Linked DNA regions of Solanum lycopersicum. The protein of the gene in region 2 interacts with the protein of the main gene of each other region in a pairwise test. Links are inferred from orthologs where the notes say so. Each region holds a gene or a part of one and is shown on either strand. Other genes may lie near its edges. The genes, in order: peroxisomal targeting signal type 2 receptor, B3 domain-containing transcription repressor VAL2 and uncharacterized protein.

What was found.
Region 1: the proteins of B3 domain-containing transcription repressor VAL2 (region 2) and peroxisomal targeting signal type 2 receptor interact in binary tests that used the Arabidopsis thaliana proteins (3 or more experiments, as listed by UniProt). The link is inferred for Solanum lycopersicum from reciprocal best matches to the Arabidopsis thaliana genes HSL1 and PEX7.
Region 3: the proteins of B3 domain-containing transcription repressor VAL2 (region 2) and uncharacterized protein interact in binary tests that used the Arabidopsis thaliana proteins (3 or more experiments, as listed by UniProt). The link is inferred for Solanum lycopersicum from reciprocal best matches to the Arabidopsis thaliana genes HSL1 and MFDX1.

The regions. Positions count from the first base shown.
Region 1 is NC_090802.1:30,672,694-30,675,534, reverse strand, and holds peroxisomal targeting signal type 2 receptor, read right to left. Parts: upstream 2,011-2,841; 5' UTR 1,890-2,010; coding exon 1,346-1,889; intron 1,207-1,345; coding exon 800-1,206; 3' UTR 602-799; downstream 1-601. UniProt on the Arabidopsis thaliana protein: Receptor required for the peroxisomal import of proteins containing a C-terminal PTS2-type peroxisomal targeting signal. Specifically binds to cargo proteins containing a PTS2 peroxisomal targeting signal in the cytosol.
Region 2 is NC_090809.1:57,741,235-57,744,899, reverse strand, and holds part of B3 domain-containing transcription repressor VAL2, read right to left. Parts: intron 2,043-3,665; coding exon 1,966-2,042; intron 1,884-1,965; coding exon 1,461-1,883; intron 1,301-1,460; coding exon 1,251-1,300; intron 436-1,250; coding exon 322-435; intron 240-321; coding exon 172-239; intron 1-171. UniProt on the Arabidopsis thaliana protein: Transcriptional repressor of gene expression involved in embryonic pathways, such as LEC1, ABI3, and FUS3. Repressor of the sugar-inducible genes involved in the seed maturation program in seedlings.
Region 3 is NC_090800.1:2,918,523-2,921,256, forward strand, and holds the end of uncharacterized protein, read right to left. Parts: intron 2,199-2,734; coding exon 2,092-2,198; intron 1,375-2,091; coding exon 1,325-1,374; intron 1,184-1,324; coding exon 1,101-1,183; intron 1,025-1,100; coding exon of another isoform or gene 1,022-1,024; coding exon 907-1,021; 3' UTR 644-906; downstream 1-643. UniProt on the Arabidopsis thaliana protein: Associates in vitro with the adrenodoxin reductase MFDR to form an efficient low potential electron transfer chain that is able to reduce cytochrome C. Functions as accessory mitochondrial protein involved with BIO2 in the plant biotin synthase reaction.

The DNA.
Region 1 (2,841 bases), on a different chromosome or scaffold from region 2:
TTATTTATCCTTTTACCCTTTAGAGTGTAGTTGTGCAAATTTAGTTGTCTATCTTCTCTCAAAATGCACTGTAAAATAAAATACAGCCCCCATGACATGTTTACTGACATTAATTATCCCACAAGTAAGCAAGACATTTGAGAGAATTAACATGAAAATATGAATTACAAGAATGACTACTCTTAAGTGCTTGATCAGGAATGCATCCTCCACTGAAGTAAGGATGAAGGCATTTGTGTGAAAATGTCATTGCCCTGTTCTGTACGCTCTCTTATAGGATGACTCTAAGTGCTTGATCAGGGACGAATCTTCCACTGAAGTATGAATGCAGGCCTTTGAGTGAAAATGGCATTGCACATATTTGAAATGAAGTACCTGTTCTGTAAGCTCTCTTATAGGATCTCCGTTTGTTATTTTTTATAAACAGAACACGCTAAACCCCGATCAGAAGTATGTGCCTTCTTTTCAACCCTTACCCGACCCACTGCCCCTCGTAAAATTCTGAATAATGTTAAAGAAATTCAGGGAATTGACATTCCAAAAAAGCATACAGAACCCAAAGTGATTGACATATAGCGCATATTTTCTGAAACATCAAAGCTGTTTGGTGTAAATGTCATTTACCAAGGTTTTACCAAAATCTTAAATACAATGAAACTTCAAATTATTTTACAACTTCAACAGCAGACATCATAAATAGTTCCCATTCCATGTTTCCAAACATAAGCAGTTTATTCACTTCCTCTCTTAGCATTAAGTACATAAAAGTAAAAAGAAGAAAATGTTTGACTTCCCTTTGTCAAGAAGCTCTAGGGTCCATTCCATGTTGCCAAACATAAACAAGTTCATCCCATCCTGTACTAGCCAATAGACCTTCAACGAGAACGCTCATATCAACTCCTACAGCAAACTCTGTGTGATGATCATACCTCCCAATAAGTGCATCTTCCACCATGTAATCCCACATGCAAACTGTCATGTCATATGAACAAGAAACCATTGCACTCGCTCTATGTGGTGAAAACCTCACTTTCCTCACTGCATATCCATGCCCATTAAGCACTGATATTGGCACTCTATAATTCCTAACATCCCAAACCTTGATTGACTTATCAACGGATGCAGTTGCAATGATACAATCGTCATACTTACTCCAATCACATGTGAGGATTTCAAACTCGTGTGCAGGCAGAATCATTGTAGAACCTTCACAAATCATGAATTATACGTGTTAAAATGATAAATCATTAATCTCCTAAAAAACTAATCAAAACTTAGTCAAACCAGTTGAAATGAATCATTTTTCTTAGGTATGATCAGCCAAATACATGTATCCAAAGCTAACCTGGTTCGCGGACATCCCAGATGCGAGTAGTACAATCCCCAGAAGCAGATGCAAAGATATCAGCATGTCTTGGATTCCAAGCAGCGGAATAGACACAATAAGCATGTTCCTTAAAAGTCCTTACACTGGCATTTCTATCAACAGTCCATAGCTTCACAGTATCATCCCAAGACGCTGACAAGAAGGAATCTTTTCTCACGGTATTATAGTCAACAGAGTGAACTTCCCGTGTATGTTCCTTAAAAGAACGAATAGGGTTATTGGTGGGAGGCAAAGAAAGGTCATAGAGTTTCACAGAACCATCGCCACTTCCAGCAATAACAAGTGAATCGTGAGCTTCCGACCAGCAAACGTCGTAAACTCCATCAGCTGTGTCAAAAGCCGCAAGTTCCGATACCGGTCCGTTTGGATTGAGCTGAAGAATGTGAACTCTCCCGTTACCAAGGATGCCGAAATTCTGCGCAGTGGCCACAGCTAGTTTGTTTTCGTAGAAGGGACTGAATTTTACGGAGTAACCGTTAAATGGAGTTTTAAATACCGGCATCTTAGGCGGTCGGCGGACGGCGGACAGCGGTCGGCGCTGATTTGATTGTTGCCGGTGATTTACTTTCCCGATGTAAAAGGGGTTTTCCCCCAAAATCGTCCTGTATTTGAGATATAAGGGTTGTTTGGAAAATCAATCGAATTGATGTATTAATAGGGATAGCTTAGTAATTATATGCTAAAAGGATTTGAAATATGTTAATTTCAATAGAAATTATTCTAACAATTTAAAATTTTGAGAAAAATCTATTATCTTTGCATTATTTAATATATTTTCTCGGTCTTAAAAAGAATAATCTCATTTTATTAGTCTGTTTCAAAAAGAATAATTTTTTTTTTTGTAACATTTTAATTTCAATTTTCCACCTGACATGTTTAAGATCATAAGATCAAAAAGCAATTTTATACGTTTGACCTAATTTTAGTTTAGTACCACAAGATTCAAAATTCTTCTTTATATTATTAAATCCTTTGTCAAGCCAAACCAGATCATTCTTTGTGAAACGGAGGAAATAGTGTATTTAAAAGCATATATGTGATCATGTAGATAAGTTATACTATCTGTGATGATGCAATATTGATAATATCCACGTGGGCATATATATACCTTTAAAATACATTATTTATAGTGCAAAAGAGTAAAAAGTCCTGCCCAAATTGAAATTGTTATAACAATTTTGATCAAAAATTAAATATATTCAGACATTTTTCCCTAATTATATTGATTTGTTTGTTCATCATAGTGGAATTACACTGTACATCAATTGTTAGAATATACAACTGTTTTAGATAAAGAAGAAATTTCATAAATAATATCTAAATATTTAAGATACATTGTATTTTGAAGATATATTAGTTAAAATAAATATATGTTCTTAACTAATATTATGAAAATATAATTGTTTGTTATTATTCAAATTAGTATATTTTAATTGAATCACACAAAAATTAAA
Region 2 (3,665 bases):
TGTGATCGGTAAATGAAATTTAGTTTAGCACAACTACAGGCTTACAAATAATGAAGGCATTACATAAGTATATTAAATCAAGAGTTCGTGAATTTTAGGACGTTATCATATAAGAACCAGCTGGTGCATGACCGAAATATACACTAAAACTAAAGCAACAAGTTACTTCACCCTTGTCCATTTTGAAAAGATTTTCAAGCTCTCTGGGTGTTAAATCGTCTGGGATGGAACAAGAGGACCTGAGAACATGAGCATGATTAGTCTAATTTTAAGTCGCATAAGTGCTGTTGAGCAAAATTCCTTGAATTGCGGTGTCCTGACCTGCTATGATCTGAAATGTTGTCCTGACATGTCCAATGAGGAGGTAGAAGATAATCAGCTGGCAACTTTCGCCACTTAAAGCAATTATCACATTGAGCCCACTGCTCCTGCTCCCTGGGATCAGTGATATACCAGTAAAACTTCCAATTTGAGCAGTCTAAGGAATATCAAATGTCAATGATGGACATGAAAAAGAATCTTTAGAAAAGAAAATATATGTTTTGTAAGAGTATTTGTTGCAGTTGAATATGTGGAACAAATTACAGTCTACAGTTCAAACTTCAACAGTGAATTGGTGATGTCATCCTATTTGGTGCCTCTTGTGTCTATGCCCGCTCCGATATCTTCCCATTATTTTGTCATCTCCTATCTCTTTTCTGTTTTCTTAACCATTGGAGAAATAAACAGGTCAAAGAATGCCAAGGGAAGAGACAGCACCACTATATCTATCAGCTTCCAAAATTAATGTCTGAATAAAAGAAATATTTGGAATATGACGGGAGAAAGGAGTCTCTCAGAGGAAACAGCCACTGTACAGAGAGCTATGTCTTAGGACCAAACTTTTTGGAAAGAGGAAAGCTCTTCTTGTAGCAGCAGAATGAGTTAGAATTTACCTATTTTAGGGACATTCTTCACATTTTCATGCTGACCAAACCAGTTAGTAACATAATATTGTTTCCTATCAGCCATCTAACTAGGTCGCCGCGTGCGTCTCAGATCGTCCAAAAGCTAAGCTTTTTTGGAGGATTTGACACGGTTGTGGTAGCTGTTTTGGAGTCTAAGCAACATAGGCCCTCGACTCCTTGTTAGTGAAAATATTCAGAAAAGGTAACTTATGACGGTCTGTTATTGCTGATGTCCTTTCTCATAATTTTTTAAGCAACATGTTGGAGTAGTGGAATACATTCTGATAAGATATTCTTTCTTACCCAGATAAGCGGACAGTAAATATACTCCTCTTCCCAAGAACAGGTGGTTGCTGCATTTTGAAGAACAAAGTTACAAACCAAAGCCAGAGTTTTTTAGCGGAATGATTAAATCTTAACAGCAATTCTCGTCGATTAAGATAATGTGAAATTCATCTAGTTCAACCACAAAGCATGAGCAGCACAGATTATTTCAAAGATAAAGCTACATACTTCGTATTCTTCAAATTCTTGGTCCTCTATGGTGACAGTGGTTGGCTGAACACTCAGTGGTGGTCGGAGCATATCCTGTAACTCCTCCCATGAAAGCTTCAACTCCAAAGCATCGTGGGCATCAATGAGCAGTCTCTTACTTTTTGACCCAATATTACGACTTCTTTTACGCTCTGATACAGGCATTGAAGGGGAGAAGGCACCATCTGCATTCCTGCCTCCGTTCTTCTCCGTTAAGTACCAGCTAAAATCACCACTATTGAAATGCTTCGAGGATAAATTCACAGAAGACTCCCTGCTTCCTTTAAATGATTGAAGAAGGCCAGAATAACCACTCATCAAAGGTAGATTCTCAGGCATTGCTGAGAAGGAGGTGGGTTCAGTAGAGAAAACATTCTTGGGTATGGCTGACAGACGATTTTCCTGTTTAGGCAATATAATCAATATTATATCCCATAAGCCACTAAAGTGAACTCAAGACGAAGCCCCTATGTGGAATAGTTACCTGAGTTATTTTAACAGTTGATGCTTTACGAAACCCCATTAAAAGCTTTCCTTCTGGATCCATGCGGCTGAAAGTCACTGCAATGAAATGTTCTATAGGATGAGAAATGAGTAGTAAAATCTTAAGTCTGAATAGAGAGCACAAAAACGAACAATGAACAAAAACATGTAATTAAATGTTCTTATAGGATGAGAAATGAGTAGTAGAATCCTAAGTCTGAATAGAGAGCACAAAAACGAACAAGGAACAAAAACATAAAATGACAGGTACTAAAGAAATAGCCCTTGTGCCTAACTCAACTCCAAAAGCTAGCTCAAGAGGTGAGCGTTGCCCAAGATCGTTTAAATAGTCTAAATTCCCTTTCCATTGCCGATGTGGGACTCTCCACAACACGAAAATTTTGGAATTCATTCACTAGGGAAAAACACGTGTTTCTCTCGCTTTCTATCCATTTCTTGAGCATGTGGAGCTTATCAGGAGCTGGACAGACTCACGAGCAAGATCAATGCAAGAATATGAGCACATAAGTCAGATGGACCTTGCGCCTAACTAAACCCCAAAAGCTAGCTCAAGAGGTGAGGATTGCCCAAGATCATTTAAAGAGTCTAAATTCCCTTTTCCATTGCCGATGTGGGACTCTCCACAACACGAAATTTTGGAATTCATTCACTAGAGAAAAACATGAGTTTCTCCCGCTTTCTATCCATTTCTTGAGCATGTGGAGCTTATCAGGAGCTGGACCAACTCATGAGCAAGATCAATGCAAGAATATGAGCACAGAAGTCAGCAAGACTACAGAGGTGAAACTCATGTTCTGTTTTATTATCTTGATTTTAGAATACAAAAATAATTTTTGTTAGTAGTTGAAGGACTCTATAAATATATTGAATCATTGAGCCAGTACACCAGACATTTTCAGTAAAAACCTAAAAAAAAAACAAATTCTTTCATATTAGATACCTAGAAGAAGATGGGAAAAAATATTCCATACGATATTTGCATCTTCACTCTATTCACTTCCTGGCATAACGTTCTTATATTCAAACCTGTTAGGAACCAGACTATGTTAATACTATAAGTACTCAATGCGACTATCCTCCCTCTGATAGTGTATGAATAGGAAAATAGTTGGTTGTTACAAGAAGTAAATATAATTAAGGATCATCCTGTCAGACCAACTTAAAAGTTACAGTAGTTAACAATGAACTCGTTGTTTTATAGCTAATAATACTAAACTTGGAAAAGTGAAAGAAGTATTGGCCCTATTACTGTCATTCTAATTCCAGAATAGCTGACTGGCTTTAACAAAGACTGATAGGCAAAGGCTTGTATTTGGAGTGTCAAAAATTCAAATCTCATAAATACTATGTCTAACCTGACCCCCTTTATCTCAAATAGAGGTGGATAATGAGTATTGACCTGCCAGCATCATTGCTTCAATGTTGAGTTAAAGCAAAGAACTAGGGGTAGCAAAATTGACCCAATTATTTAAAACCTGCCCAAAACTTATCAGGTTGGGCAAGAGATATTTCCGTGTCCGGAGCCAAAAGGATAATTAAGCCCAATAGTATACTTTTAAAAAACAATCAATTACTATCAACTAAACAAAATTCTTTTTTAAATAAAAACCGCCGCAAGGCGCATGGAATTCCGCGCCTTGCGGCGGCTTCCCTGATCTAAACGTCGTCAAATTGTCTGTC
Region 3 (2,734 bases), on a different chromosome or scaffold from region 2:
AATTCATATAAAAAACACATTTATGAATCACACTTCGGTGAATACTTACAAAAAACACATTTATGAATCACACTTTGGTGAATACTTACAAAAATATATAATAACCAACGTAAGATTTAACAAATAAATGTTGATAATTCCACCATTTCTCCCACAAAAAACTAGTTGATTTAAAAGATTTCCAGCAACACAAGGCAACCCAAATACTTAACAAATCTAAATTACTAAATATTACATGACCCACTAATTAAAGTTTTACGACTCCGCTTCTTCCGATCACATTTGAATCAACATGTGATATTGTTTCGTTAAGAAGTTCATCTTCATCTATAATTCACCATACAAGATATTGCAAAATTTTGTTTTTTTTTTCTTCAAAATATTTATTTATCAAATCTTGACAAATAAAACACTACTAAAAATATATATTAAAATATTTTCAAAAATTAATAGCCCGCGGGCTGACCTATGTGGCTTGCGAGCTGGACTTATGAGGCAAAGGGGCCAAACGGGGCGGGCTTAAAAGCCTCATTCCTAAATCGGCCAAAAAAAATTAAGCCCAACCCCACTTATTTCAAGGGTTGGGCTGGCCTCGCGGGCCAAGCCCATTTTGACGTCTCTAGCCATTTATGAGTGCAAATACTAGAATGATAATACTAGTATTACATTGAATTTGATGTAAAAGAATACAGAGGTTTCTGCAGAACTAGTGTGAGTATTATTGTGAGGATGGACAAGCAGACACCACGACGATGAATCCAGTATATCGCCCGGAATATTACCAGTGAAACAAGTAAATAAGTAATCAAAATGGTTCCTATAAGTATAATCATCCCACAAAATCTGTTGACTCGTGTGTTTGTTAGACATGAACCATAAAATCTTTTATCTATGGTAGAAAAAGTTCTAATGTGGTTTCGGTTTATAACCATCAACAGCAAAGTTTCTTGTAGCAACAGGGAGAGCTAATCGAATGCCATCAAGTTCAGGTTTTGCAATTACCTGACAACCTAGACGTGACCTGAAGACGATGAATGTATGAGAATGAGAAGATTCATAGATCATGGGAACTGCTAAATAGTAGAAAGCAAGAGACTTACGTATCGGTGAGAGCAAAAGCAAGATCCAACATATCATTTTCTTCATCTGTTGGATCTTCTAGCTTGTTGTAATACTCCATATCCTGTGAAACGCCACAAGAATAGATAAGAAATACAGCGTATTTATTAGATCAAAACAAGCAAGATGGTATTGAGTAGCTCAGTAGCTCCCAGCCAGGCGGAAAAAAGAAGCCAATGACATTATCCCGATCACAATTACTTACCATAACAATCACATGACATGTGGAACAGGCAAGCGAAGCTTCACATGCTCCTGCATCAAAGGCCATACAGTTTTAGTCAAGTTAAGCAAAGCATTTGGTTGTCGTGCTTAGAAATGTTAACACCACAAGAGTATCTAGAAGTGTTCTAACAACGTTTTTTTATTTATCTGACGGTGTCCTAAACCACAATAAGTAGGCATGCATGTGTCAATCATGTAATTTTGCCTAGATGTATGCATCTGTGGCTATGGAGTATCTAATACTGAAGTCGAAACTGGAAGAGTATCGTGAACATACAAACTTTCATTTAAGACGGTCTTAATAAAATCGTCCCATGTGCATATCTTCAACCACCATCTCTCCAGGAAACAGTAAAGATATGTTACAAACTTCCTCTCTTACCATCACCATCCCCGCTTCAGTAGTATCTCTAGTATGAAGACGGTGCCTTCTGGAACTCATAGAGCCCAACCATACCACTAACTTCGAAACAATTTTGGGAATTCCAACACATTATGTTCGAATATGTAAGGGAACACTACGTTCTTTTCCATTGTTCTCTTGGAACTTCTTGGATAGGTAGGACTGCAAGATGATGTTAGATGAAAATTCTAACATATCCAATAAATGCCTCCCAACTGACTGGAACTAGTACCAAGATTCACTAAATCGCCTTATCATAATTAAAATATCAGCAAACTTAAGTAGTTGACGATTTATAAGATCCGTTCAATATATATGAACCAAGACACCTCAACAAAGCTGACCTTCAAGTTCAATGTCATTTTCATGTGCAGCTTCTAACATAGACATTCCAACAGGGACCTTGATATGGTTCTCTTCACCATCCTTGTCAACAAAAGTTACAGATATTCTGCAAATCACAAAGAGACCATAGAAAAGTAAGTTTGTGGTAACTAAATCAGTGTGGCATAATCTCAGACATTCCATCAGCTAAATTGTAGAGGCTAACTATGATAAGCTAATGATGGATGAAATCAAGGAGATAGCACAAAGTTCAAAAATTACCATCATAATTCATATAGAAAAAGGTTATTAAATATCTGATACATAATCTATATGAGGAAGTGCAATAGATGTCAGACATAAGTTTAAGGAGGAAATGTTGGATTGTAACAAAAACTTCCCCTGGTGACTTCATGCATTGGACATAGAAAAGCAAATGAGATATTTGTCCAAAATTTTAGGTAGTTTTTAGAAAATAATAGATATAGATAAGTAGGAGTGAACGTGAATTAGTTTCATGATCCTAGAGCGGGAAAGAACAAATCTGATTTTTCGAGGATCAATTCTGATCCAGTTAGAATTAAATAAAAATACCGAACACATACCTAGCATCTCAATCTATAGAAGTTGATTTAGAGAAGGGCCTACTTTATAAATATTCTG